Canis lupus familiaris: one gene and its partners. The protein of the gene in region 5 binds, or shares a complex with, the protein of the main gene of each other region. Links are inferred from orthologs where the notes say so. Each region holds a gene or a part of one and is shown on either strand. Other genes may lie near its edges. The genes, in order: FBXL13, DRC1, IQCG, CCDC153, DRC3, TCTE1 and DRC7.

Region 1 (3,500 bases), on a different chromosome or scaffold from region 5:
ACAGGCTTCCAGTTATGGAATGAATAAGTCATGAGAATAAAAGGCACAGCATAGGAATACAGTTAATGATATTGTAATAATGGTGTAAAGGGACAGATGGTAGCTATATACAGATAGTGAGCACAGCATAAAGTATAAATTTGTCAAATCACTAAGTTGTACACCTGAAACTAATGTAACACTGTGTGTCAACTATACTCAAATTAATAAAGAAAAAAAGAATAGATGGCAAAGAAACTAAAAATTCAATGATAAGTATAATAACCTAATTTAAGTCATCAGAACCAAAACTGACCCTTTTAGAAAACTGAATATGTAGAAGGCATATTTGAAAAGTTCCTTTGAAATGCAGAAGGGTAAAGAATTAAAAATAAATGAGATAAAAAATGAAGAACCAGGATTCAGTCTTTAAATAAAGAGGATTCTTGAGAGATATAACAATAAATAAAGCAATAATCAGAGACATATAAAAGCCTTTAAAATAGCAAAAGAGGGCAGCTCCGGTGGCTCAGTGGTTTAGCGCCGCCTTCAGCCCAGAGTGTGATCCTGGAGACGAGGGATCGAGTCCCACGTCGGGCTCCCTGCATGGAGCCTGCTTCTCCCTCTGCCTGTGTCTCTGCCTCTCTCTCTCACTCTGTATCTCTCATGAGTAAATAAAATAAAATCTTTAAAAAAATAAAAAATAAAAAAATAAAATAGCAAAACATACTCCATACATTAAAAAAGAAAAAGTAAATAAAAACAAAAGGTAAAAAGTACAAATAGTAGAGACATAGAACACAAAGAAGTCCTAATATATTAGTTTTATAATAATTTATAATAATATAAATAAGTTGAAAATATCTCCTATTAAAAGATGAGATTGTCAAATTGGTTTAACAAATAACTCTAAATTATAAGTAGTCTATGAGAAACACATTTAAAATAAAATGACAATACAACAAAATAAATTGCAGGGGTGCCTGAGTGGCTCAGTTGGTTAAGCATCATGACCCTGGGGTCCTGGGATCAAGACCCAAGTTGGACTCCCTGCCCAGTGGGTCTTATTTCTCCCTCTCCCTTGCTCCTGTCCCCTGTTCATGCTCTCTTAAATAAATAAATAAATAAATAAATAAATAAATAAATAAATAAATAATTTTTAAAATTTGCAAAGATGTATATATAATTTTATATTATAATCCAGGAGGCATCAAAAGTCAATAGAAAAGGATTATTCAGTTAATGTTCCCAGTTAATTGGTTAATGTAGTTAGTCCCAAATCTGGCTGTTCATCAAAAGCATCTGTGTTGTTTAAAAAAAAAAAAAATACAGGGGATCCCTGGGTGGTTCAGCGGTTTGGCGCCTACCTTTGGCCCAGGGCGTGATCCTGGAGTTCCAGGATGGAGTCCCGCGTTGGGCTCCCGGCATGGAGCCTGCTTCTCCCTCTACCTGTGTCTCTGCCTCTCTCTCTCTCTCTCTCTCTATGTCTATCATAAATAAATAAATAAATAAATAAATAAATAAATAAATAAATAAATCTTTTTTTTAAAAAAAGACTATCCTTTAAAAAAAAAATACAGAATCTGGGATTCCATTCCTAAATATTCAAATTCAGTAGCTCTAGGGTAGGGTTTAGGTGTTTGTAGTTTTATTCAGCTCCTCCAGTGATTCTGATACCCTGGAATTTTTACTTTTAAAACATGTATATGTTTTTAATTTACCTTTTCATTACTGGTTTTTAATTTAATAGCATTGTAGTAAGAGAAATAGAGTTTGTTGATACCTATAATTTAAAAGTTGTTGAAACTTGTTTTAAAACTTCATGCATAGTCCATTTTAAAAAGGACTGATGTGTGTTGAGGGAAATGTATATTCTCTGACTCTCAAAGTTACTGTTTAAGCTTATCTCTTATAGATGAGTTTTTTAAAATCTAATCTGAAACTTTTATACTAAACTTTCTCTGTCTTTTTATCCTACGATATACTCTTTCATATTTTATTTTTTATCTTTTTTTTTTTTTTTTTTTTTTTTACTCTGCTATCATGAAAGGAATTATCTTCCATCTCTGTACTTTTCTCCTCAGTGAGTTCTAATCTGCTATCTGGAAATCCATTGAGTTTATTTCAATAACTCTTATATTTTGTATTTTTTAAAGTTGTTTTTTTCTAAAAAAAATATTTTATCATATTTTGTTGCCTGCTAATGTTTCTGATTTCATTAATTTCTTCAGATATTTCATACACATTTGCTTAATATCCTATGCCTGATAACTCCAATATCTGAATTATTTGAAGGTCAAATTTATTTTGCTGTTTCTGGTGACTCTTTTTCATGGTGTCTCATGTCTTCATACATAACAATTTTTAATTGTGAGCAGCTATATTTTATTCTTAATCTGAGGAATCCTAGAGGCCTAAATAGAAAATGCTCTCCTCCGGGGAAGCATTGAATTAACTTCTTGCAGGAGCCTAGGCAATGGTGACATAAACATCTATGCTCAGAGCAGCAATACCTTTTATGTTTGTTTGCTATTCATTATTCATCTCAGAGTATGTTTGTTGAGAGGCTGGTGCAGAATCAGGATATTAGATATTAGAGCTTTCTCTTACTCTTTGTGGGTTCAGCAATGTATTTAAAGTATGTTTCATCAAGGATATAAATTGTGGCAAAGGGTCGTTTGAAATGTTTTGTCAACTATGGAAGTAGAAAACCTCCATTTATTTTTTTTTAAGATTTTATTTATTTATTCATGAGAGACACAGAGAGCGAGAGAGGCAGAGACACAGGCAGAGGGAGAAGCAGGCTCCATGCAGGGAGCCCGATGTGGGACTCGATCCTGGGTCTCCAGGACCATGCTCTGGGCCGAAAGCAGGCACCAAACCACTGAGCCACCCAGGGATCCCCACCTCCATTTATTTTTAAAGTAGTTAATCTGTAGAAACTTGAGTGAAATATGAGGCTGAAATTCAACTTTTATTTTATTAAGAATTTGTCATCTGTTCATCTGTTAGGGAATCCACACGAGGAAAAATCTAACCAGTACTCAAGAGGAAACCCTTCAGTAAGATTGATTCCTCCTAAGCAGCTAACAAAGCCCATTTGGGAAAAGGCCTGTTAACTGAACTAGCCATGAGAACCCTCACTAGGAAAAGTAGCCCTTAAGTGTTCCTGGGAATTCATTTAATCTTTTAAGGGCCCATGATTCCACATGGGTGCCCCTTCTTGGTGTTGCCACAGATTTTCATGTTTACTGACCAGTGAGCATCTTGAGGAGAGGGTCTTGCACATTCTAGATAATTAATATTTCTTGAATATATAACTGAGTGACTCATTACCTTATACAATTTGCCAAATTCAACACAGTTAGTTGCTTCAAAGGTGAAAGCGACATAAGGCTACCATCTGTTATTCTCTTGCAGTCTACCATGTAAATGTGATTGATGTTTGGATAATTCTTGTGTATATATTTGAAGCATGCATCAGTAATCCTTTTATTTCCTGTTTTAAAACAAACAAACAG
Region 2 (4,091 bases), on a different chromosome or scaffold from region 5:
CAAATGCCTAATGGACATCTTGGTTTTAAAGTCTTCCAAAATCCAATTTCACTGAATATGTCCAAAGCCAAACTCTTGATTTCCAAATCCTCCTGACTCACTTCCCCCATCACCATCTTTATCATTTCAATGCAAGGCACTACCATCTACTCAGCTGTTCAAGCCATTCTTGCTTTTTCCCTGTCTTTGACTAGCATATCTAAAATCAGTAAATCCAGTCAGTTTAAGCTGTAAAGCATTTCTTGACTACATCTGCTTTCTCTCCAAACCCACCAGACCAACTTCATCCCTCACAGAACCAATGCAACTGCTTCCTAACTGTCCTCTTCAATTATACTTCTGGCTTCTGCAAACCAATCCCTCAGACAGCAATCAGAGTGATCTTAACATACTTAGAAATTTGAGAAATTCCCACATTAAGTTGTTGGTGAGTGGGTAAGAGTTATCATGGGAGGGAAGGCCAAGTGGACATCTTTAAAACTGTACCTGAATACATAAAAACAATCACAAAGTGGGGGCTAGGGAGTGGGGATGGTGGAAATTAGTATCACCCTTAAGGATCTCAAGGATACAGGAGTGGTGGTCCCCCCCCCCCCCCATCATGTTTCCATTTAGTTCACGGGTCTGGTCCCTGCAAAAACTGGTTGCATCTGAGAATATGATTATCAATACTGCAAGCTCAACCAAGTAGTAGGCCTCATTGCTGTTGCCATGTAAATGTGGTATCTTTGCTGGAGCAGTGTAGAGTGGTCTTATGTACATACAAGGTGGCTGCTGATTGGGTCAAATGTATTATTTTCTACCTAAATCAGGAAAAAGAATCAGAAGTTCACATTTACATGGAACAGACAATAATATATACACATATAATTCTCACACTCACAGCGTCATGTTGATTCTCCTGATCTCTGTCAAAACATAGACTGAATAAATCAGGACCATTTGGATACCCCAGAGAACATCACGTTGATCCACTACATCAAGATTGACCTGAGAGCTAGATATGACCCATCTGTTTTTGTAGGGCTCATAAGAAAAGAATGATTTTTACACTTTTTAATGATTAAAAAAAAAAAAGGAACAGATCAATAGGAAGAGCACAAAGGATTTTTAAGGCAATGAAACTATTCCATATGATACTATAATGGTGGACACATATCACTATATATTTGTCAAAATCCATAGAACACCAAGAGTGAATCATAATGTAAACTATGAACTTAGGGTGATGATGTGTCAATGGAGTTTCATCATTTGTTTTGTTTTGTTTTTTTTTTAAGATTTTATTTATTTATTCATGGGAGACAGAGGGAGAGAGGCAGAGACACAGGCAGAGGGAGAAGCAGGCTCCATGCAGGGAGCCCGACGGGAGACTCAATCCCGGGTCTCCAGGATCATGCCCCGGGTCGAAGTCAGTGCCAAACTGCTGAGCCACCCAGGCTGCCCGAGTTTCATCATTTGTAACAAATGTACCATTCTGGAGGATGTTGATAGTGGGACAGGCTGTGTATGCATGGGGGCAGGTGGTATATGGGAAATCTCTGTACTTTCCACTCAATTTCGCTGTGAATCTAAAATTTCTCTTAAAAAATGAATTCAGAAAAGAAGATCAAAATCTGAAGAAAATTTTGTGACACATGAACATTATATGACATTCAAATTTCAACGTCTTTAAGTGAAGTTTTTTTTTTTTTTAATTTACTTATGATAGTCACACACAGAGAGAGAGAGGCTCAGAGACATAGGCAGAGGGAGAAGCAGGCTCCATGCACCGGGAGCCCGACGTGGGATTCGATCTCGGGTCTCCAAGATCACACCCTGGGCCAAAGGCAGGCGCTAAACCACTGTGCCACCCAGGGATCCCTTAAAGTGAAGTTTTATTGGAACACAGCCATACCACTCTGTGATCTAATGGCCAGCAAACAAGAAGTCACCATCTTGGTAGGATAGGTGACCCTGGCTAGCAGGACAGGGTACAAGTGCTCTTACACAGTGAGGGTGTTCAGGAATTCAGAAGATCATGCAGGTGCCTCTTAGAATCCTCTTGTGACAGCCCACTGTGCCTATGAGTAGACAGGTGCAACAACCCTGTCCTGAGAAGGGTATGATTATCAGGCACAGACCCTTCAGGAATGAGGGTTTGTGTCATACAACCAGATAAGCTACTGAGACCAGCAGAAGTGACAGCTGAGGTCCACTCCAGAAATGCTTGTGGAAGGCAGGCAGGTGGGGATGGGAAGGAGGAAAGAAAGACCTCTGAGAGGAGGTCACGGATGGCCTGTGTCTGCAGTCCATTGCTCGCAGTGCATGGCACAGCAGGCTTTCAATAAATTTTTAAAAACTTCCTGCTGCAGAGACTATTATTTCCGTCTTTGACTCCACAAGTGTATTGAATGTGTTCATATCCCATACTTTGGTTGAACCTTCCGGAAGAAGTTTTTCCTAGCTCACCGCCTATCTTTGCGCTCACACGTGGGCCCCGCCCGCCCCGGGAAGGCGCCCGCCTGGTCCCCGCCTCCGCTGCCGACCGCCCGGACCCCCGCTCACCGCCTCCGGGCTTCCAGTCGCGCCGCGATGCGGAGGCGCCGGGCCTGGATCCGCTCCTGAGGGTTGTCAGAGTATATGGACGGCCCGAGAATCGGGGTGGACAAGTCTTCCTCCTCCTTCTCCTCCAGAACCCCCAGAGATCCCGGCGGATTCATGGCAGGTGCCTCCCGCCCCAGGCCCGCGGCGCCTGGACCACCGCCGGACCACGGCCCCGTTGCTAGCAACAAGTCGTCGCCAGGGAAAAGCAGGCACCTGACCCGCAGCTGGAGCGCGCGCGAACAGCTCCCAGGCCACGCCCACCTGAGGCTGCACGCCCCCCTGGGTTCTGTATTCTTCTCCCGGAGAGAGAACGGGACTTAGGCTCTACCTTAGTGGGGTGAAAATTACATCAGTTTCGTTCAGCACTGTACAAATAGCGCCGAGCATAATGCCTAATATGTAGTAAGTGCTCAACTAGTGTTTGCTGAAAGAAGTGTACACAGATGTATATGTATGCTCGCTGTAGTTATTTATAATGTTAAAACACTAGTGTGACCCTGAAATCCATCAATAGGGAACTGATAGGAACGCCTGGGTGGCTCCGTGGTTGAGCATGCCTTTGGCTCAGATCGTGATCCCGCGGTCCTGGGATCCAACCCCACATCAGGTTCCTCGCAGAGAGCCTGCTTCTCCCTCTGCCTGTGTTTCTGCCTCTCTTCTGTGTCTCTCATGAATAAATAAAATCTTTTTTAAAAAAATGGGATTGATAAAGCTTTCACGGGATGGATAACAATGTAGCTACTAAGAATGGGTCTGACCTACAAAGACCTAAAGATGTATGAAATGAGGAAGAAAGGATGTAACACAAATGTGTAGAATGTGATCCAAGTTCTATTTGAAATATATCTAGTACATATGGTCAAAAAATGAGCACAAAGTAAGGCCAAAGAAGTTACTGCCTGTGTTCTCTTCTAGGAGCTTTATGGTTTCAGATCTCATATTTAGAGAGATGTTCCCCAACATCGTTTGAAAAGACTTTTTTCTCATTGATATTCTTTCCCGCTTTGTTGAAGATTGACCATATAGTTGTGTGAGTTCATTTCTGGATTTTCTATCCTGTTCCACTGACCTATGTGTCTGTTTTTGTGCCAGTACCATACTGTTTTGATCAGCTTTTAATTATAACTTGTAAGTCTGGAATTGTGATGCCTCCAGTTTTGCTTTTCCTTTGCAAGGTGGCTTTGGCTATTTGGGGTCTTTTGTAGTTCCATACAAATTTTAGGATTGTTCTAGTTCTGGAAAAATGCTGTTGGTATTTTGAAAGGGATAGCAATAAATGTGTAGATTGCTGTGGGTAATACAGACATTTAATTATTTGTTCTTTCAACCCATGAGCATGTAATGTCTTTCCATTTCTTTGTTTCATCTTCTATTTCTTTCATCAGTGTTTTAAAGTTTTCAGAGTACAGATCTTTTACATCTTCGGTTAGGCTTATTCCTAGGTGTCTTATTGGTTTTGGTACAACTATAAATGAGATTGAATCCTTTCTGCTGCTTCATCATTG
Region 3 (4,174 bases), on a different chromosome or scaffold from region 5:
GTCTTTACACACGTTATTCCTTCTATTTGGACCACTCTTCCCCTCACTCTTCATCTTGTAAAGTCCCACTGGTCCATCAGGTACCAGCCTAAATCAGTGGCATTTTGCTAGGTATCTGTCATTTCTAAATCTAATCTTCACCATTTCTTATACCCCAAGAGACTGACCCATATGGGGCACATCAACAGGAGGTTCCATAAATGTAGGAGAGTGAGATCAAGTGTTTATCCTCCCAGTTCCCTCCCTGCCAAATCATCATTGGTTGGGCTAAGTTTCTCTGTCAAAGGCCATGGCACCAGTCAGGCAATATTCTCTACGTTGCTCTTGCTTGGGGGCTTGGGTAACTATTTCTGCCCTACGTCCCTGGAGACTATGTCATCCCTTAGAATTTCACTCTTGCCTACAGTTTTGTACACAGATCCTTTATGAAATTCTGAACTCTATCATTGTTTCCATCCAGGGCAACACTGACTGATGCAATGACCTATATACACAGATTTTTATATACACTGTGCACACACAGACATATACTTAAGTATGCATACAGGCAAATAACTGAAACAAGTTTCATATACCAATTTACGTTTAACATGTGCCATATTCTGGGATCCCTGGGTGGCGCAGCGGTTTGGCGCCTGCCTTTGGCCCAGGGCGCGATCCTGGAGACCTGGGATCGAATCCCACATCGGGCTCCCGGTGCATGGAGCCTGCTTCTCCCTCTGCCTATGTCCCTGCCTCTCTCTCTCTCTCTCTGTGACTATCATAAATAAATAAAAATTAAAAAAACAAAAAAAAGAAAAAAAACATGTGCCATATTCTGATACTTTTGATTCTATCATATATTTTGCCTAAAAAGTATTATAATTACAATCTACTACTGGGCCTACACCTGCAATTTGAAAAATGCCTTAAAGGACATTTCTGCGGGTGACACTTTCCCTCATTCATCAGGCTGGATCAGGAGTCCTCTGGTCAATCACTGCACTTTTATTTTCCTACAGAGCTCTCTTCACAATTTGTAATGTTACTGTTTTGCCCCCACTAGGCTTTTAAGTGTCATGAAAGCAGGAACGTGATAGTGATGCTCACTGTTATATCCTGTTTCAAGCACTGTGCTCAAGAAGTATTTGTAGAACAAATGAATGAACAAAGGAACGAAACTCACCTTTAAGGTTTTATTCCTCTCAGGACTACTTAACATTTGGATTTCTAGTACATTTAATAGTGAGATTTTTAGTATATTTCTGGGACAGAGAAAACTGGATAGAGGGAGTGGATCGTAAGGTACCTACACTCTATCCTGATGTATTTTTTTAAAAGATTTATTTATTTATTTATTTATTTATTTATTTATTTATTTATTTATTTATTTATTTATTAATGATAGATATATATATAGAGAGAGAGGCAGAGACACAAGAGGAGGGAGAAGCAGGCTCCATGCCGGGAGCCTGACGTGGGACTCGATCCCGGGACTCCAGGATTGCGCCCTGGGCCAAAGGCAGGCGCTAAACTGCTGAGCCACCCAGGGATCCCCTATCCTGATGTATTTAAGAGAGGACCTTAAATATGATTTATAGATATCTCATAAAGCTTTGGGGTCATCCTTTACTCTTCTCTCCCATTCCTTACCCATCAGCAAATCCTATCAGCGTTACATTTAAAATATATTCAGAAGTCCAGTACTTATCACCCCTGTCTGCAAGCCATGATCTTATCATGATCATTGCAAGAGCCTCCTAATGGATCTCCGCGCTGTTCTTGCTTCCCTTCCATCTCAACAGAATGACCCTATTAAAATGGAAGTCAGATTGAGTCTCCCCTCCATACAGAACTGCTCAAATTGGTTTCTCATCTCAGAGTAAAAGCCTTCTTTTCTTCATTTTTAAAATTATATATATATTTTTAAAGCCTTCTTTACAGTGGCATCCTGGCTTCATTCTTTTTTTCTCCATAGAGAACATTTTTCTCATGTTACCTGCTCATGTGCCATATATTGTGCTTGCTTAGAGTCTCACTTCCCTTCCTAGGACAGGTCTGTAAGCTCAAGAGGGCAGAGAATTCCGTGGTTTCGTTTCCTGCAGGGTCCTCCGAGCCAAGACCAGAGCTCGGTACATAGTAGTCGTTCAATAAACTGCTGAAACAAATGAATGAACCCGGAGGGAAACCCAAATAAACCTGCAACGGTCAGACGCCCACTAGCCTATCTTCCCGTCACCTGCCAGGATTTGCTAGAGACCCACTTCGCGCAGGCGCGGTGCTTGGGCGCCCCACAGCTACCCGTGCAGCTGCTCTTTAAAAGGCGGCAATACTCACTCTGGAGTCCAAACGAAGGATTGCAGGTTAGGAACTTGGAGGACGTTTCTGCAAAGAGATAAAGAGAGGAGGAGGAGGAAAGGGGTGAGGTGGGGGGGTGCGTAAAGAGAAGAGCTCCTCCTGCCCTCGTGCTCCTGCCCTTTCTCTTCCGCGCTAGGACCCGAGAGTCTCCATCCTCCCTACTCCTAGTAAGAGAGAAAGATGCTCCCACGTGAGCGAATCCAGTCTGGGGTCCCCGAGGCGGGGCGGCAGCCTGCACCGGGCTGCAGGAACCAAGCCCTGCTGTTTCTATGGCAACGCGAAGCTCCGGGGACCTTTCCTCGTCCTCCTTTAGCTGGCTATCCTCTTGCCTCCCTCTGTTTCAAATACCACATATATTACAACTCTCAAAGATAAAAGCACTCAGAGAAAGACCTGTAAGAGTGCTCTCGAATGTAGACGTTTCTTTCAGTCAAAGACAACAGCTGAGGCTTTTTCTTTTTTTTCTTTTTTTTTTTTTTTTTGGGCGGTTGCGTTAGACGCCTAAACCGGGGGGGGCGGGGCGGAGAGGTGTTTATCCCACAAGGCCACGCGCGCGGCGGGGCCTCGCCTCTCTCTTTCCGCCATCTTGGAGCCTGTGGAGGTGAGGAGAGCCGCCGCTCCTGAACTTTGGGGGCCGATTAAGTGCGGTGAGACGAGCCCTGTGCTTCGGCGGGGCGCCGGTGCGGCTCGGAGGCTGTGTCAGCGAGCGAGCGCCGTGGATTCCAGCGGCGGGGAGGCCAGGATGGCGGAGATGCGGGGCCGATGGTGCTGGTGCCCGGACTCCCGGAGAACCGGCGCTCCCGTCATCGCCGTTGCTGCTTGGGCCTTAGCGGAGGGATAAAGGCCGTTCGCCCGTTTTGAGGCAGTGGCTCCCTTAGGATGAGCCCTTTTTATATTTTATTTTATCTTATTTTATTTTATTTTATTTTATTTTATTTTTCCGTCAAGACGCTCCCACTCCAGACCTGGTTATGTCTACGAGCTCCCCTTCCTCAGCCTTGCTTTTCCCATTCAGTGCTTCCGCCTCTGTTTTGTGTGCTTCTCCGATTCCTCGCTTTTCTTTCCTCCCCCACCCCCCCCCTTCCTACCCGGCGTGGTCTGAGTCCGCTCGGGGCATCCTTTCGGCGTCTCCAGGAGCTGTTTCCTTGACTACGAAGCCCGTCCTGCCCGAGGTGTCTCCCACCGGAGAGACTTCCTGTCAGATGCCGAGCGCTACCGAGAGCGGACTGGGCGGGAAACGTGCTTTTGCAAGATTTTAAACTGGTTCTTTTTGTTTTAAGGCCTGCTGGGACCAGGACTCCTAAAGCGACGACTATGTCTGGAAGGTACAGACTTTATGATTTTTTTTTTTTTTTTTGCATCTGTAAAAAAAAAAAAATCAAACGTTTGCTGTAAACTTGGGGAGGGGGGATTAGATGTTCGCTGCAGGTGACTTTTGAGTAGAGCTCGTTACAGGTGAGCTCTTCCAGTGAAACCAGATCTTTGCACGACTTATGGTCACTCTGTATTTTGTCTCAGGCTTTGGTCCAAGGCCATTTTTGCCGGCTATAAACGGGGTCTCCGGAACCAGAGGGAGCACACAGCTCTACTTAAGATCGAAGGTGTTTATGCTCGAGATGAAACTGAGTTCTATCTCGGCAAGCGATGTGCTTATGTCTACAAAGCAAAGAAGTAAGTTCATAGTGTTAATGCCTCTTGCATTTTTTAGTTGAGATTTGTCGCATTTTCCTATTCAAAGGAGAAGAATCAAAAGATGTTGGCAAAGCAGTTGGTACTTTTGTGTTTCGTACTTTGAATCTTTTTTTTTTTTTTTTTTTTGAAGATGTTACTTATTTAT
Region 4 (2,374 bases), about 27 Mb from region 5:
ACCAGAAGTAAAGTAGTATTGGGAATGTTGTAAAATAGAAGAGCAACACAGTGTTCCCTTTATAGGTGGGCTATGGGATTGGCTAGGATTGAAGCCATCTGGAACTTGCCTTAGGCATGACTCCTGGACTCCCCCCATATATTGCAAGAGTTTGGAGACCAGTTACACCTTCTCTCTGTCAGCACCTTAGGATTGTGGGGGCTGGTGCCTGGTCACTGCTGGTCTATTAAAGAAATGGCCTTGCCCCCACAAATCTGGCTACCTGTGTTGGTGCCGGGGAGGGGTGTGGGTAGTGGGAGTAGGGGATGGTGATTTGAAAGGACCCAAAGGGCCCAAGATTCAAGGCATGGGGCCCAGTTTCTCTAAGAGAGGAGTTGAGAGTTTGTCAAATGTCAAATTTCTATCCTCTCATTCAATCTTCAGAGTAATGGGTCCGCCAGAACCAACATGCCCTCAAAGAGATATTTGTATCTGTCAAAAAGGCACAGACCACAGTTCTGTGGAGTTCTACATCAAGACAGCTTTATTGCTGGAGCCTCTCAGAGGCCCAGAGACTAGAAGCTTACAGCTTTATTTTATTTTATTATTTTATTTTTTTAATGTTTTATTTATTTATTCATGAGAGACACAGGGAGAGAGAGAGACAGAGAGAGGCGGAGACACAGGCAGAGGGAGAAGCAGGCTCCATGCAGGGAGCCTGACATGGGACTTGATCCCGGGTTTCCAGGATCAGGCCCTGGGCTGAAGGCGGCACTAAACCGCTGAGCCACCCGGGCTGCCCCGAAGCTTACAGCTTTAGAGATCCAGGGGGTTGAGTCCAAATTGGTGGAGCTGCTCCTTGTACTTGGCGTGAAGTCTCAGCACAGCCCCATCCCACTGAGGCCTGACTGCTCTCAGCTTGGCTAAGAGTTGGTCCAGGTTGCCCTGTGGACACCAAGCTTCAGGCTCCAGGAAGGGAGAGAGGGTAGAGCAAGGGTTTCCCTGGGCTGGTCTGCGAGCTTTCCTCCTAGCATCTTCTTCAGGTTCTTACTCTTACTAAGTAAGTGTGGTTGCGTGCCTTGGCTGTCTGCCCTCGGGGCAGAGCAGGGTTCTCTGTGGAGATGCTTCTCCTCCCCCCTGGTCTCCCATTGATGACAATGATAGTATGAACTAGTTGGGGTTCAGGGGAATGGGGGAGTCCTAGCTACTGGGGTGGTAGGGCTTCCAGAGGTGGTGGTGCTTACATGTAAGATTTCCTCGTACTTGGCCTCCATGTCCACTACATGGGCCCGAAGCTGAGCCAGAGTCTGGTCCCGCTCTCCGAGGGCCCGTTCAGCCTCTTGCTGCGCAGCCTCAGCTTCCCTCTGGCACGTCTCTGCAGGGCAGGGCGGGAGGAGGAAGGGGACTGGGTAGTGACATTCTACTTGTGAACAGAGTCTCCAAAGACACCTCAAAAGCAGAACTTGAATGGGATCATTCCAGACTCCCCCCCCCAGGATCATCAATTTTCCCATAGTTCGTATAAAGATCTGACATATACCATTGAGGTACAGCAGAGAGAGCAGTAGGCTTGGGATGAGAAATGTGCGTCCAAAGTCTGGTTGTCACTTACTACCTGTGTAACTTTGGGTACATCTCTCTCTGAGACTCAGTTTCTTCATCTTTAAAGAGAGATTGATACAAACCTTACAGACTTATTGTGAGTTAAATGTGAGAGTGTATGGGGAAAAATACCTAGTATGTACAGGAGGTGCTCCATAAATGCTGATCGAATTTAAATTTGAAATAAGGCAAGGATTATGAAAGGAATTCAGGGTCCGCATGGCAGATAAGCAACTCTTGGGTATCTGTAGCTAAGCTGAGGCTATTTTAGGGGCCCCTGGCTGACTCTTGGTCTCAGGGTCATGAGTTTGAGCCCCATATTGGGTGTGGCGCCTAGTAAAAAGAAAGAAAGAAAGAAAGAAACTGAGGCTATTTTAGGTTAAGGAAACTCTGAGGTCACAATTGTGAAAGATCTTATGTGTCGTGCTAAGATAGTTCAACTTTATCCTGTAACCAAGAGAGAAAGGAAAAACTTCCTGTCCTTTACATTTTTGCTTCTCTAAAAGGTTTATTCTTTGATTTAGCAAGTAATTATGTAGGGCTTGGCATGCCCAAGGCATTGAGGATATGAAAATAAATAAGTCAAATATCTTTTCTTAGTTTGCATTGTAAACATCAGCTAAGAGGGAATATGTTTTGAGACGCCTGGGTGGCTCAGCAGTTGAGCATCTACCTTTGGCCCAGGGTGTGATCCTGGAGTCCCGGGATTGAGTTCCACATCAGGCTCCCCATATAGTGACTGCCCCCCTCTCTCTGTGTCTCTCATGCATGAATAAATAAATAAAATCTTTAA
Region 5 (4,134 bases):
GGCTGACCTTGGGCTGCTGTTCCTGGCTGGACAGAGCCACAGCCCTGGGAAGCCTGAGCACCCCTGACCTCATTCTCATCATTACCAGCCTAAGAGTGAGAGCATCCAGAAGGGCTGGACCCTGCAGGAAGTCGCACTCTTTTGGAAGCTCCCAGGTTCAGCCCTTCCTTCTTTCCTCCTGTTTCTTGCCACCATTCCCCCTCCCCCCACTGGCTTCACCATCTACCTTTGCCCTCCTGGTCCCCCACCCAGGCCTCTTCCCTGATGCTGGGGAGTCCCTGAATTATCCCACTGAACACCACTGGAGGGACAGCTGGTGTTGGGTTGATGGTGTCCACTGCAAACTGGGGTGGCCTGGCAATCCTGCCACCTGGTCTTAGAGGCTGCCACTGCCCTCCTTGCCCGCCATCCACTTGGACGCAGCTTATATAAACCTGCATCTTCCATTTCTGGGCTGTCTGTGATCTAATGGCCTTGTGCGTTTAACTATTGTGAGTCTCTTCCTTCTGCCCCTGAGGAGACACAGCCTCCTTGGACCCTGCTCCTGGCCCCAAGCGCTCCCCCCCACGCCCCTTCTCACCTGGGCCCTCCATCCTCCCACCCTCTCCAGTCTCAACATTGGCTCCAACTTCTTAGAGGGAATGAGTCAACTCCCAAAGACGTTTCCAGCCGCCCCTCCCCCCCATCTCCCCACTCTTTTAAAACAATCTTTTTTCTCTAAGATTTCCCATAACCTGACAAGGTTGGTTGACACCAACTTGCCTTTGGGGAAATTTTAACGTGCGGTATTTGGCAGATGTTACCTGCGAAGTGTTTGTGCTTTCTCAAAGAAAAGTGCGGTGCTTTGGGAAATGCTTCTTAATTCCGATTTCAAAACTGTAACTGACTTCTCATCACTCCCACTTCATCGGGGCCTGGCACCTGGGACAGATCAGGCTTGCTTCTGTCAAGCCCACAATCACTATTCAATGTGGAAGAGTCGTTAGGCATGCTTTTTGTTAAGCACACGAGGGTAGGATTTGGAGCCTGGGTGGGCATCCTCTGACAACGAACCTCACCTTTCTGAGCCCTTGACTTACTGTCTGTAAAAATGGATAAGTCCTCCCTCCTACATTTGTTTAAGATCATTTATTCAGCCCACACACGTGTAATGAATAGCTACTACGTGTCGGGAATAAAACAGACCTCCTCCCCTCTGCAGACGTGAATCAGATCATTGTACAAATATTTAATTACAAACCATGACAAGTTTGTAGATGTAGGGAACTGGGACATCATATGTGAGGGGTGCCTGGCCTGGCAAGGGGAGACAGGGCTGAGATCTGAAGGGTGAGTAGGAAAGATGGAAGAGTGAAGGGCACAGCCAGGGCCCTGAGGTGGAGTGCACGAGCCATGTTCCATTTGGGCTGCAGTGAAGCACGGCTGGAGGGGCCTGCAGGATCTTAACACCTTCGGATTCCTGGGAAGCTCCTGGGGCTTAATTAATAAGGGCAGTGACGTGAACAGCTTTCACTTTTAAGAGGCTCACTCTGGCTGTCGTACTGAGAACAGCAAGAGTCATGAGCAGGGTAGTGGTAAGATGTGGCTGTGAGAGATCTCGAGGATTTTAATATGTAGGACTAATCATTGGCAGTTTCCAGATGAGGTTAGGAAGGTTAAGTAAGATACCAATTTCATACATCGATACGGCATATGGCAGAAGCAGGGAGATGTGATTCCAGAGCCCATTTTCTTAACCATGACACAACCGTATGCAGGGCACTGTGGATTTTCATTATCACAACCCACGAGGTTTCTCACAGCTATTCCCAGGCAGGGCCAAGGCCCCACCGCTCCTCCACTAAGGGACTTTTTGTCAATAATTTACCACCCAACCTGGGTTCCTGATGACTTGCCTGACAACAGTGTTGGGGAAGCCCAGAGGTAGCGGTTGGGGAAAGCAGTGGAGGGCTCTACACCACTGCCAATAGAGCAGACTCCTCACCGAGAAACAAAACCAGGACAGCCCTGTGAAACAAGAACTTGTGATCAATTGAATCAGAAAAACATTGCCCCTGCTGGCAGTGGATTACTTAGAGAAAATCAACGATTTACTGAGTGCTTGCTGGGTACTAAGTACAATTTCATTACTTAATTCCATGTCGGCTCTGGAAGTCACTGGAGAAAGGGGTGCTAGTTCCCCCATTTCCCAGAGAGAGAAACTGAGGCCCGGGAGGGGAAGGAAATTGTCCAAAGTCGGACAATGAGCTACTGAGAAGAGACAGGCATGAAACTTGGGTAGCTATATCCCAAAACAAAATACTTTATGGAGCACCAGGTGAAGAATACAAAGAACAGAAACAATTTTATGACAGTCAAGAGGTCGGATCTGAGGGTTAAATACGTGAGGAGCTCATCAGTGGACCGGGTACCTCTGTTTCGATAAAAGGGACCAGGCCAGGAGGCCCGGGGGCGTCCTTATTATTTCCTTCTCATCCAAAGCCCGAAAGCCCAGGGTCCCGGCGCAGCCGTGAAGCGGCTGGCAGAGAACTGTGTGCTCATCTACAGGTGAGGAGGGCCGGGTCGATTCCCAGAGAAAAAGGCCGGAGGAAAGAGCTAAGTCCGCCCCTGCTAGTCCTCCCGCAGCCTCCGCTCCAAGGTCTCACCGTCTCAAGCGCCTGCCACCCGACTGCTTCCACGCAAGCCGACGCTTCGCCCGGTTACTAAGGGAACCAAGCTCCGCCAGTCGGTTGCTAAGGGGAAGTCGTCGAGTAGACATCCTGGGTGAAAGTTGACGGTCACGTGACAGTATTTCTTGGGCGGGGAAATACTCTTACGACCAACCCGCAGTAGAAAAAACAAACGTTTCTCCAATCAGCACTGTCTATGGGCAGGGATATCAGTAGTCCCGCCTCTCCCCCGCCCCCACTTGAGTGATTGACTCGTCTCCTGGCCAGTAATGTAAGGATTCGCTAGATTGACCAATATATAGATGAATCACAACACTCAGACTCTCGTTCGGAGGCGGGCCTTTGGAGGCGCCGCTACGCCTGATGGAGATTCCTGTGACCTAGCTCGCCGCTCCGCCCAATCGTCTGCCGCGGGGTAGGCGGGGCTTCGCAAGGGAGGCGTAAGGGCCAATCCGGAGAAGGGCTAGACAGACGCTGCCCAATGGGGACGCGACAAGGGGTGGGGTCAGGGGCCGGGCGTTCGGCGTTCGGAGGGTGGGGCGGGGGCAAGTGTCAGTCAGGTCGGGAGCGCGACCGGGGACAGCGGGGACCCGGGCGGCTGACAGGGGGGCCCGGGCCGCTGCCGTGCTGTCCGCTCAAGATGGAGTTCCTCCTGGGGAACCCGTTCAGCACCCCGGTGGGGCAGTGCCTCGGTAAGGCCGCGCGAAGGGTGGGCCATCTGGGTGGGCGACGGCGGCGGCTGACGGGGCTGGTGAGGACCGCGGGCCTCTGCCGGGCACCGGTGCCACCCCGCGGGCCGCCCGGGCATCCTTGCCGTCGGGCCTCTGCTCGCGGCGCCTGTGTCACCCTGGCGGGAGGCGCCCCAAAGGCCAGCGTGGACTCGGAGATGCTCCGTGCGGCCCTCCCGGATTCGGGCCCAGCCTCTCCCGGCTCAGAGAGGGGGTGCGGGCTGCTGGGGTCGGCTTGCCTCCTCGCCTGCTGGGGATGCCACCGAGTGCGTCCGCGTCCAGGCTGACGGTCTCGCAGCCACTGCCGCCAGGACCCAGGGCTCCCGCACCCTTCTCCCTCCATCCTTGTCCGTCTCCTCAGTACCAGCAGCCCTCAGACCGGGCACCCTCCCAGAGAATACTCCCTGCTCAGAGACTTGCTAATTAGAGCTGCAGCTCAGCGAGGCTGTAGGAGGGACTGGGATGGGGGGAAGGGTTCCCCGAGGGTGATTATTTTGGCAGGGGGACGGCATCCCTGCACTGCCTCGGGGAGAGAAGGGAGGCTGTGTGTTTTAACGATAAGAGCCCTGGACTGGGAATCAGGAAGCCGGGGATCCAGTAGGGGCTTCGCCAGTGACTCTCCCTGTATGACCTTGTGCAAGTCACTGCTCTTTCCGGTTTGATGTTTTCCCTGTCTGTCAAATGACCTGTGTGTGTGTGGAGGTGAAGTGTGGTAGGTCCCTTCAAGTTCTAAAGTT
Region 6 (4,220 bases), on a different chromosome or scaffold from region 5:
GGGTGACTTCGTTGTTTCCTGGGAGGTGGCACTGAGTGGAGGGTATCTGAGGGAACAGTGCCCCAGACTGAGGGCACAGCCAGTGCAGGGGCCCTCTGGGGGAGGTGAGCCGGTGCAGTGAGTGGTAAGTGGCAGGTGATGGGGTCTGGAGAGCACAGGGGCCAGAGCCACCCAACTCTTTAAGACAAAGTGCAGGGCACGGGCCCCAAGCCTGAGCTGAAGCTGAGAAGTGGCAGCTCAGAGTGGGAGGAAGCCGAGAGCCAAAGGAACCCTCCTTCCCTAACAGGATGGATGCACTCAGGACCAAGCCAGACTCGGGAGCTCCACCTCTGTTCCCAGCTCTCTGTTGCTAGAGGAGGGAAAGGATCTCAGGAGATCCATCTCCAAGTTAAAGGCTCCCTGGTGACCAAGTTCCGGGGCCGTTTAGTTAAAATTATAAGTGTAAAGCACGGCTTCCCACATGATTTCTCATTCTAATTGCAACAGTTAAAGGGTTTGCGAGGGACCAGTCCCCACCGGAATGGGATGCCGGGGATTCCTTCTCGCTCAGCCCTGTGGGCTTGCAAAGCTGTACCTCCGGATCTCGGCCACTGCCACAGTGGCCACCTCTCAGTGACGCTCACTGGAAGCCCAGCTCTTTACTTTGGACACAGGGTGAGGAGTTGCGGTGACGTTTTACGATGAGTTATCCGAGCTTCTAAGATGTTAACTTACCCATGGCAACAGACTAGTAACTGGGAGAGCTGAAGGTAAAGCTAAACTGCCTCCATGTGAAACGTCCTACCATCCTGGTCACCTCTCCCCTCCTGAAGGACAGTTCTTATTAGCCAACCCCCCAGGTTGGTCCTTCCTGCCCGTCAGGAGCACCACATCCTGCCGCCCAGAGCTAAGGGGGACGGGGGGGGGGGGGGGGGGGTGACATAACGTTTAGTGCTGTGTGAAGGAGCGCTGTGGAGACCTGGAAACTTCCTGCCTGGTGCCTGACATCAGCCTTGTTCACATCCTGGAGAAAGGTGGAAGGTACCACACTGCAAGGATGCTGCAGCCCACAGCTCTCCTGCAAGGCTCGGGGCAACAGTAGGCCCCAGAGGAGATCCGGTAACCCCTGCAGGTGCCCTTCCACCTCCTCACCTTCCAGAAGAAACTGCGGATGCTTTTCCTTTGTCCATTCGTCACCGCGCACCCCGGTTCCACACAGAAGGTACCAAGAAGGAACAGCACTCCAGTCCGGAGCCCTGCCCCAGGCCCTACTCCTCCCCCTCCCCCAGAAAAGCCCATCTATTCCCAAGCGCGCTCCCCAGAACCTCGGAGCACGGCCCCCTTTCCCCCCACCCCGCCCCGCCCCTCCCCTCCCGGTTCCCAGGACCCACCCAGCGGCTCGCCGCGGAGGCCCGAGCGCACGCGGATGTAGGCGCGCACATGCGCACCCGCCCTCGGACCCGCCCCCTGGCGACGCGGGGCGTCCCTAACGACCGGCGCGGCTGCGCGGTGGGCCTGCAGGAAGGGGAGCGTCCGGCCTCGAGAGTGGGTGAGGTGAGCCCGGGAAGACAGCTCAAGCCCGGGCCTCCCTTATGGGGCTGAACTCCCCCTGCCCCCGCTCCCGCCTGGCTGAGATTGGCTTGGCTCTGAGCCCCGTCTGTCCCCACAGGAGACTCCCCACCCCACCCATTTGAGGCGGGACCCTTGCTTCTCCGCTAAGGTCACTGCATATTGGCCCAGAGGTTTAAGGTCTGCCAGTAAAGGGGTGCGGGGTTGGGGGGGGGGACACCACGAGAAGGAGGAAGGAGAGTGTGGGGCATCGGGTAGGTCGTGGAGGAGAGCAGTCCTGAGCCCCGGAGGAGCCGCAGGCTTCTCAGAAAGACGGACTCCCATTCCCAGCTCCTGCAGGCTGCAGTCCCTCCTACAGGTCCAGAAGCTTCAGTACCTCCCTTCCTCCCTCCCTCCCACAGCACGGCTGGTTTCCCTTGGTTACTAAGGAGCCGCAAGGGCCTCCTCACCCCTGGCAAGTTGGGGGAGGGACTCGCTGGCCTTTGGAGCTGAGCTTCCCTGCAGGAGTGTCTGAGCCCAAGGCAGGAGTAAGGGGTGAGGAATGAATACTCTGGAGCCCTTTTTAAGACAACAGACCCAAGTGGTCAGGAGTTGGGAGAAGGGCCAAGCCCAGGGGTGTGATAAGTGTGCCATCTCACTGGGGCCAATCACCAAGCATGCTGGGCCCAGGCTCCATCACAGAACTTTGCTGTCCTTCTTTTGTGATTTCACAAACTAAGAATTCCCAAGTGGGAATTTGGGAGGCATATGGCCGGAGGTAGGGTCTGATGGAGGCATGAAAGAGATCAGGAAAGTAAGACAAAAGCCCAGGGCCCCTGAGGACAGATGCCCAGGGAGGGGTCTCCTCTGGGATCCTAAAGTGAAGGAGAAGCTGGCTGAGAAGTCAGAGGAAGCACAGAGGGAGAAGTGGGTAGAGGATATAACCCATCTAGCCGAGCCAGCCCAGAAGGTAGTGTCCAAGGGGCACAGAGATGCTTCGGCTCCTCAGTTAAGAGGAAGGCAGGTAAAAAAAAAAAAAAAAAAGAGGAAGGCAGGTGAGAATGAGGACCAGGGATGTGATGAGCAGGAAGGGGAGAGAGTTCTCCCCCAGCCTCTTCAACTTTCCCCTTCAGGCAGTGGGGAGAACCGTCTGGCTACAGTGGTTAGATTTAACTGGAGACTTGAGAAGAATAGAGAAGGTTTGAGACGTCCGAGAGGAGGGAATGTGCTAGAGATTCAGGCACTGAGTCCCAGGTCTATGAGCAATATCAAGGGCCCAATGTGAGCCATGGAGCAGGAAAGTGCAGCTCTACAGAATGTTCTTGGGTCCCTAGAGGCCTCATGCTGAAGGATTCAGGCGACGGTCCAGTTCTGTGGAAGGGCCTCATGTCTGGCAGTGACTTAGGGGGTGAGGGAGTCTGGGCTGTTTAGGCCAGCATCTAAAGGGTTACCCCAGGCTTCACACTGGTGACAGGATGAGAAGCGCCCATGAGCTGCAGAAAATAGGAGGCCCGCTGGAAAAGTGCCATGAACAACTGAATCTGGACAGTTTAGGAAGCAATCCCAACAGCTTATTATTTCTATGCTTTTGTGCATGGAAGTGACAGAGAGCTTTGAATGGGTATCAGCTGAAACTTTAGGTCTCCCACTTACTAGCTATGTGATGCTTAGCAAGCTACTTATGCTTTCTAAGCTTGTTTCCCCATTTGTGCAATGGAGATAATAGTGTCATAATAGCAGGAATAGTCCTCAATTGAAGGAAGATTGAATGAACATACCTAGGTAAGTCATGTCACATCTTCATCACAAATCTAACACATATTTTGAAGGGTGGCTCTGGGCCCAGCATGACATGAATCCTCTTACACACATCAGCTCCTTTAAAATCTTCTGGATAATCTTAGGAAGTAGACACTACTAATTTCTACCCCCATTTTACAGATAAAGAAATGGAGGCTTAGTAGGGTGAAATGACTTCCCCAAGGCCTCACAGATGCTCCGGGGTAGAGTGGAGATTGGCCTTAATGCAGTATAATTCCTAAGTCCTTACCAGCTGCCTCCTGCTGTGCAAATGCTTTGAGAGCCTAAAACTCCATAAATCATAGCTGTGTATAGGCAAGATATGGTTCCCAGGACACTTGTCCAGCAGATGCAAGCCATCAAAAACAAGGCCAAGCTGGCCGAACTAGGGCATGTTGTCACTTAATATTACCTGTGCTTGGGCACATAGAGAATAGACTTTTACACCCAACCCTTTGAGTTATGGCCTGAATGTGATTTTAGGACCCTGGGCCCTGGTCCTAAGGACACAGAACAGAGAGCTGGTTGGGAGAGGATTGACCTTTCTACAGGGATTGTGGTCCTGTGTGGGGTTAGGCTGGATGATGGCTGGAGACACAGCATTGTAAAGCCCAACAGGCCTGTGAAACCTGTGCCAGGAAATGAAAGGTCACAGGACATGTCCCCACCTTCCCCATCCTAGAGTAAGCTGTGCATTTCAATAGGGGCACCAGGTGGTGGCACAAGAAGTGATCACTCCCCATGGCCCTGACTTTCTCTCTGGAATATGAGAAAAGAGAAGGATCAGAGTGTTCAACACACTTTCAGTCTTCATACTCTGGGATTCTCTGTCTACCCCATAGGTTCCCTAGGGAGAAAAGCTCCAAAGAGGAAAGTGGGTGCCATTTCTGGAG
Region 7 (3,500 bases), on a different chromosome or scaffold from region 5:
CTGCCGCCGATGGCTCCCCAGGGCCCCGTGGGTCCTCAGCCGGGCCACCTCAGCCCTGATGCTGCGGCATTTCTTCTCTTCCCGCACAGGGTTCTATTTGCTCACCTCCAGAGATAGGGAGCTCACCACCTCGCCAGGCGCCCTGCTTTATCACTACACATCCCTTCCTGCTGGGAAGAGCTCCTTGGGTAGACAGCCATTAGCCACAGCTGCCAGGTCATTTGCAGGGATGTGGAGGGAAAAGGGCCGATTCAATGTGAGGTGAGCGATACAGGGGTCCTACCTTCGCTCACACACACATCTCAAATAGGTTAGAAAAGACTCCCAAGAACCAAGCCTATGGACACTGGCACAGTAGTATCTGAGAGCCACCGTTCTAGTGTGCACGTATGGCACAGTGGCAGGGGGCACAATCTCTCCCGCTTTATAACCAGGAGGTGCCCCCTCCTGAAGGTGTGGCTCCAGCGCTGCCGCAGAGAGCGGGCGCCCTGTGCCTGCCCCAACGACAGCTCACCACCACTGGCCGCGGGTTTGACTCTGCGCTGTTCAGAGCCAACTTCTTCACCCTGGGCCCAAAATCCACGTGGCGGTAGGAGAGGAAGTCAGACCGTCCTCGGTAGTGCTCCGTCATCGAGCTGGGCGTCTCCTCCCGCTTTACCAGGCCGTCCACACGGGCTGTCTCGTAGAACTCCATGACCCGGTCCATCTCGGGTTGCATAGACACGTACGAGTGCGCTGTGGTGGGAGGCGGGGGCCGGGAAGGCAGCGGGGTGAGACCAGGAGCGCTGGCCCCTGGCTTGAGAACCCGGGCCCGGGCCCCAGGGAGAAGGCATGTCCATGGATGCTCGCGGATGAGCAGGACTTATGGAACCAATGCCCCACTGCTGGGTGTTCAGGTTGTTTCTCACCTTTTTGTCATTAGAAACAACACCAGGGTGAACATTCTTTAGTTCTTGCCCAGTATTTGCTCAGGACAAATTCTCAGAGGTAGCACAGCTGGTCGAAAAGCGTATGTATTTTAAAGCTATTATTATTTTGCCCAACTACTTTCTCGAAAAGTTGAGCCAGTTTGCTGTCCTATGAGCAGTGACAGGGAGCAACTCTCTGCTGCTTTGCTTACACACCGGTAGGACCATTTTGTCATCTTCGCAACATGAGGTTTGTAAAACGGCTCCTTCCTTCCTTCCTTCCTTCCTTCCTTCCTTCCTTCCTTCCTTCCTTCCTTCCTTCCTTCCTTCCTTCCTTCCTTTTTCTTTCATTTCAGCCATCAAGTGAGTTTGATCATTTTTAAAGGATATATAATGACACTAGGCTTTTCTTCTCTGTGTCCTTGGTTAGGGCTGTTGATTCTTTCAAGACACATCCTTCCCTCACTTCCCTGCCTCTTGGGCTCATGACCACACCCCTGCCCTCCGCATCGCCCTTGTGGGGGCATTTGTTAGTTTTGTTGCTCTGTGTCCTGACCCCTTAGAAAGGTGGCCTTCAGCATGTGCCTAGCCCTAAGCACAGAATGGGCATGTGGCCCTGGTTTTGACTTTCCTGGAGGGACATTTGTCACATCTTCTGCACTTCCCCTGGCCTCGTGCACATCTGGTTTGCTTAGGGAGGCAGGGGTGGGGGCTTATGTTGCTTGTCATACCCTGGGCTCCCACTGGGACCGACAGCGGGTTCCACTCACCACGCAGAGCCTGGGGATGGCCTGGCTTGAAGTAGTCGATATTCAGACCTGTGCTCTTGTTGATGTGTTTTAGCTCTAGCATATCCTCCCGGTTCTGGTACCACTCCTTTATCTCCAAAGTCTTGGTACCTGCAGGGCACGATCAGTACTTGCCACAGCCAGGCTGGCTCCCCCAGCCTCTGTCCCACCCTTCCCGGCACACAGGTCAGCGGGGGCCCACACGCACAACAAGTGCCTGGCAGGGACGTGCCCAAGGTCACATAGCCCACTGGGGAACCCAGCTCTCCTGCCCTCGCGGCCGGGGCTGCCCGCCTTACACTCCAAGTCCTCGTAGGTGGTGAGGCGGCACACGAGGCCATTGTTGTTGAGATATGGGGCCCACTTCTCCAGCTTGGCCCTCTTGTACTGGATCACCTTCTTCCCACTGGGGCAGCGGGTCTCGAACGCTGCAGACACAGAGTGGGCTGGGGTCCCGCCTCCCCAGATTGGGGCACTAGAGGGCCAACCCCACTCAGCCACTCATCTGGTCACTGTGCTAAACTCCTCCAGGCCCCAAGCCCACTCCAGGGAGACAGAGGGAAGTAGTCACCAGGGTAGCTCCTGCCCTGGAGGAGTTCTCAGCTTTGAGCCTGACCACGGGAGCTGTGCCCTACCACACCACTCACTCGCTGCTGGGCCTCTGCCTGTGCAGGTCTCTCTGCGGGAATCACCATCCCCTCCTGCCCTTACTGGGCTGGCTTCTGATCCCTTAAAACCCTGCTCAGACTCCTCCTCCTCTTGGAAGCCCTTCCTGCCCACCTTCTCCCAGTCCCCAAGCGGGCAGCTGGGCTGGGAACTCCTCCCCTGGTTCCCATGATGCCCTCTCTAGCCCTTCCCACTGTTGGAATACCCTATGCCCTCCGTGTGGGTCTAGGCCTCCCAGACAGGAACCTCAACAGCCAGTAGATGTTGGCGTGGCTCACAAGTGGCCCTTCCCTGCTGCTTTCTCTGCCTACTCCTCCCTGGGGAGCTGCTCCTCCCTGGTCCTGATGCCTCTGCTCCCCTCTGCCATCTGGGTACTATGCTGTTTGGCCTCCTCCTGGCAGGGGGGTGGGGGAGGGCAACAACCACGTCCTGGTCCTCCGTCCTTTATTTTTTTATTATTTATTTTTAAAAATATTTTATTTATTTATTCATGAGAGACACAGACTGAGAGAGAGAGAGAGAGAGAGAGAGAGAGAGGCAGAGACACAGGCAGAGGGAGAAGCAGACTCCATGCAGGGAACCTGATGTGGGACTTGATCCCGGGACTCCAGGATCACACCCTGGACCGAAGGCAGGTGCCAAACCGCTGAGCCACCCAGGGATCCCTCTCCTCCGTCCTTTATTATCCACACTCCATCACCTAGCACAGGTTAACCTGGCACCCCTCCCTTCCTCCCCCGTACACCAGACTGGTGTCAGGCCCCCAGCCACAGAGCTGAGTGCATGTGGCGGGAAGTAGATAGAACAGAGACACTGTTCAGAGCAGGGTGCATCAGGGCACAGCAGAAGGCAGGAGAGGTGGAAATGAGGGGCTGGGGCAGCCTTCACTGGCTCCCCCACTAACTGGTCCTGGGGAGGCAAGGAACACAAATGTGCATGTACCTTCTGGGGAGATCTCAATCTGCTCCACCCATGAGGGTGGCATGTCGAAACTCTTATCCTCATCCTCCTTGCCCTGTTGGGAGAGGTGGGGAGGGGGCAGGCTCTGGTCAGGGCTGGGCCTTGGAGCGGAAGCTAGAGGCAGAGCCTCTGTCTTGCCCCCCCCAGGGCCAAGCCACAGTGGCTGCTAGCTCCCCCA

Evidence for each region.
Region 1: DRC3 (region 5) and FBXL13 share a complex: the UniProt entries of both Homo sapiens proteins name them as parts of the nexin-dynein regulatory complex. The link is inferred for Canis lupus familiaris from reciprocal best matches to the Homo sapiens genes DRC3 and FBXL13.
Region 2: DRC3 (region 5) and DRC1 share a complex: the UniProt entries of both Homo sapiens proteins name them as parts of the nexin-dynein regulatory complex. The link is inferred for Canis lupus familiaris from reciprocal best matches to the Homo sapiens genes DRC3 and DRC1.
Region 3: DRC3 (region 5) and IQCG share a complex: the UniProt entries of both Homo sapiens proteins name them as parts of the nexin-dynein regulatory complex. The link is inferred for Canis lupus familiaris from reciprocal best matches to the Homo sapiens genes DRC3 and DRC9.
Region 4: DRC3 (region 5) and CCDC153 share a complex: the UniProt entries of both Homo sapiens proteins name them as parts of the nexin-dynein regulatory complex. The link is inferred for Canis lupus familiaris from reciprocal best matches to the Homo sapiens genes DRC3 and DRC12.
Region 6: DRC3 (region 5) and TCTE1 share a complex: the UniProt entries of both Homo sapiens proteins name them as parts of the nexin-dynein regulatory complex. The link is inferred for Canis lupus familiaris from reciprocal best matches to the Homo sapiens genes DRC3 and DRC5.
Region 7: DRC3 (region 5) and DRC7 share a complex: the UniProt entries of both Homo sapiens proteins name them as parts of the nexin-dynein regulatory complex. The link is inferred for Canis lupus familiaris from reciprocal best matches to the Homo sapiens genes DRC3 and DRC7.

Annotation. Positions count from the first base shown.
Region 1 is NC_049239.1:17,435,173-17,438,672, reverse strand, and holds part of FBXL13 (dynein regulatory complex subunit 6), read right to left. Parts: intron 3,479-3,500; coding exon 3,316-3,478; intron 1-3,315. UniProt on the Homo sapiens protein: Substrate-recognition component of the SCF (SKP1-CUL1-F-box protein)-type E3 ubiquitin ligase complex.
Region 2 is NC_049238.1:20,544,127-20,548,217, reverse strand, and holds the start of DRC1 (dynein regulatory complex protein 1), read right to left. Parts: upstream 2,801-4,091; 5' UTR 2,703-2,800; coding exon 2,548-2,702; intron 1-2,547. UniProt on the Homo sapiens protein: Component of the nexin-dynein regulatory complex (N-DRC) a key regulator of ciliary/flagellar motility which maintains the alignment and integrity of the distal axoneme and regulates microtubule sliding in motile axonemes.
Region 3 is NC_049254.1:29,439,350-29,443,523, reverse strand, and holds the start of IQCG (dynein regulatory complex protein 9), read right to left. Parts: upstream 2,801-4,174; 5' UTR 2,731-2,800; intron 2,628-2,730; exon of another isoform or gene 2,365-2,627; 5' UTR 2,317-2,364; intron 2,135-2,316; exon of another isoform or gene 1,979-2,134; intron 1-1,978. Other genes in the region: RPL35A (60S ribosomal protein L35a), read left to right, coding at 3,652-3,662, 3,856-4,008. UniProt on the Homo sapiens protein: Component of the nexin-dynein regulatory complex (N-DRC), a key regulator of ciliary/flagellar motility which maintains the alignment and integrity of the distal axoneme and regulates microtubule sliding in motile axonemes.
Region 4 is NC_049226.1:14,710,436-14,712,809, reverse strand, and holds the end of CCDC153 (coiled-coil domain-containing protein 153), read right to left. Parts: exon of another isoform or gene 1,368-2,374; intron 1,355-1,367; coding exon 1,224-1,354; intron 925-1,223; coding exon 796-924; 3' UTR 501-795; downstream 1-500. UniProt on the Homo sapiens protein: Component of the nexin-dynein regulatory complex (N-DRC), a key regulator of ciliary/flagellar motility which maintains the alignment and integrity of the distal axoneme and regulates microtubule sliding in motile axonemes.
Region 5 is NC_049226.1:41,745,246-41,749,379, forward strand, and holds the start of DRC3 (dynein regulatory complex subunit 3), read right to left. Parts: upstream 2,801-4,134; 5' UTR 2,646-2,800; intron 2,008-2,645; exon of another isoform or gene 1,896-2,007; intron 940-1,895; exon of another isoform or gene 804-939; intron 1-803. Other genes in the region: TOM1L2 (TOM1-like protein 2), read left to right, coding at 3,310-3,361. UniProt on the Homo sapiens protein: Component of the nexin-dynein regulatory complex (N-DRC) a key regulator of ciliary/flagellar motility which maintains the alignment and integrity of the distal axoneme and regulates microtubule sliding in motile axonemes.
Region 6 is NC_049233.1:12,894,819-12,899,038, reverse strand, and holds the start of TCTE1 (dynein regulatory complex subunit 5), read left to right. Parts: upstream 1-1,420; 5' UTR 1,421-1,533; intron 1,534-1,968; exon of another isoform or gene 1,969-2,082; intron 2,083-2,595; exon of another isoform or gene 2,596-3,309; intron 3,310-4,220. UniProt on the Homo sapiens protein: Component of the nexin-dynein regulatory complex (N-DRC) a key regulator of ciliary/flagellar motility which maintains the alignment and integrity of the distal axoneme and regulates microtubule sliding in motile axonemes.
Region 7 is NC_049223.1:58,032,853-58,036,352, forward strand, and holds part of DRC7 (dynein regulatory complex subunit 7), read right to left. Parts: intron 3,378-3,500; coding exon 3,305-3,377; intron 2,125-3,304; coding exon 1,996-2,124; intron 1,808-1,995; coding exon 1,679-1,807; intron 736-1,678; coding exon 515-735; intron 1-514. UniProt on the Homo sapiens protein: Component of the nexin-dynein regulatory complex (N-DRC) a key regulator of ciliary/flagellar motility which maintains the alignment and integrity of the distal axoneme and regulates microtubule sliding in motile axonemes.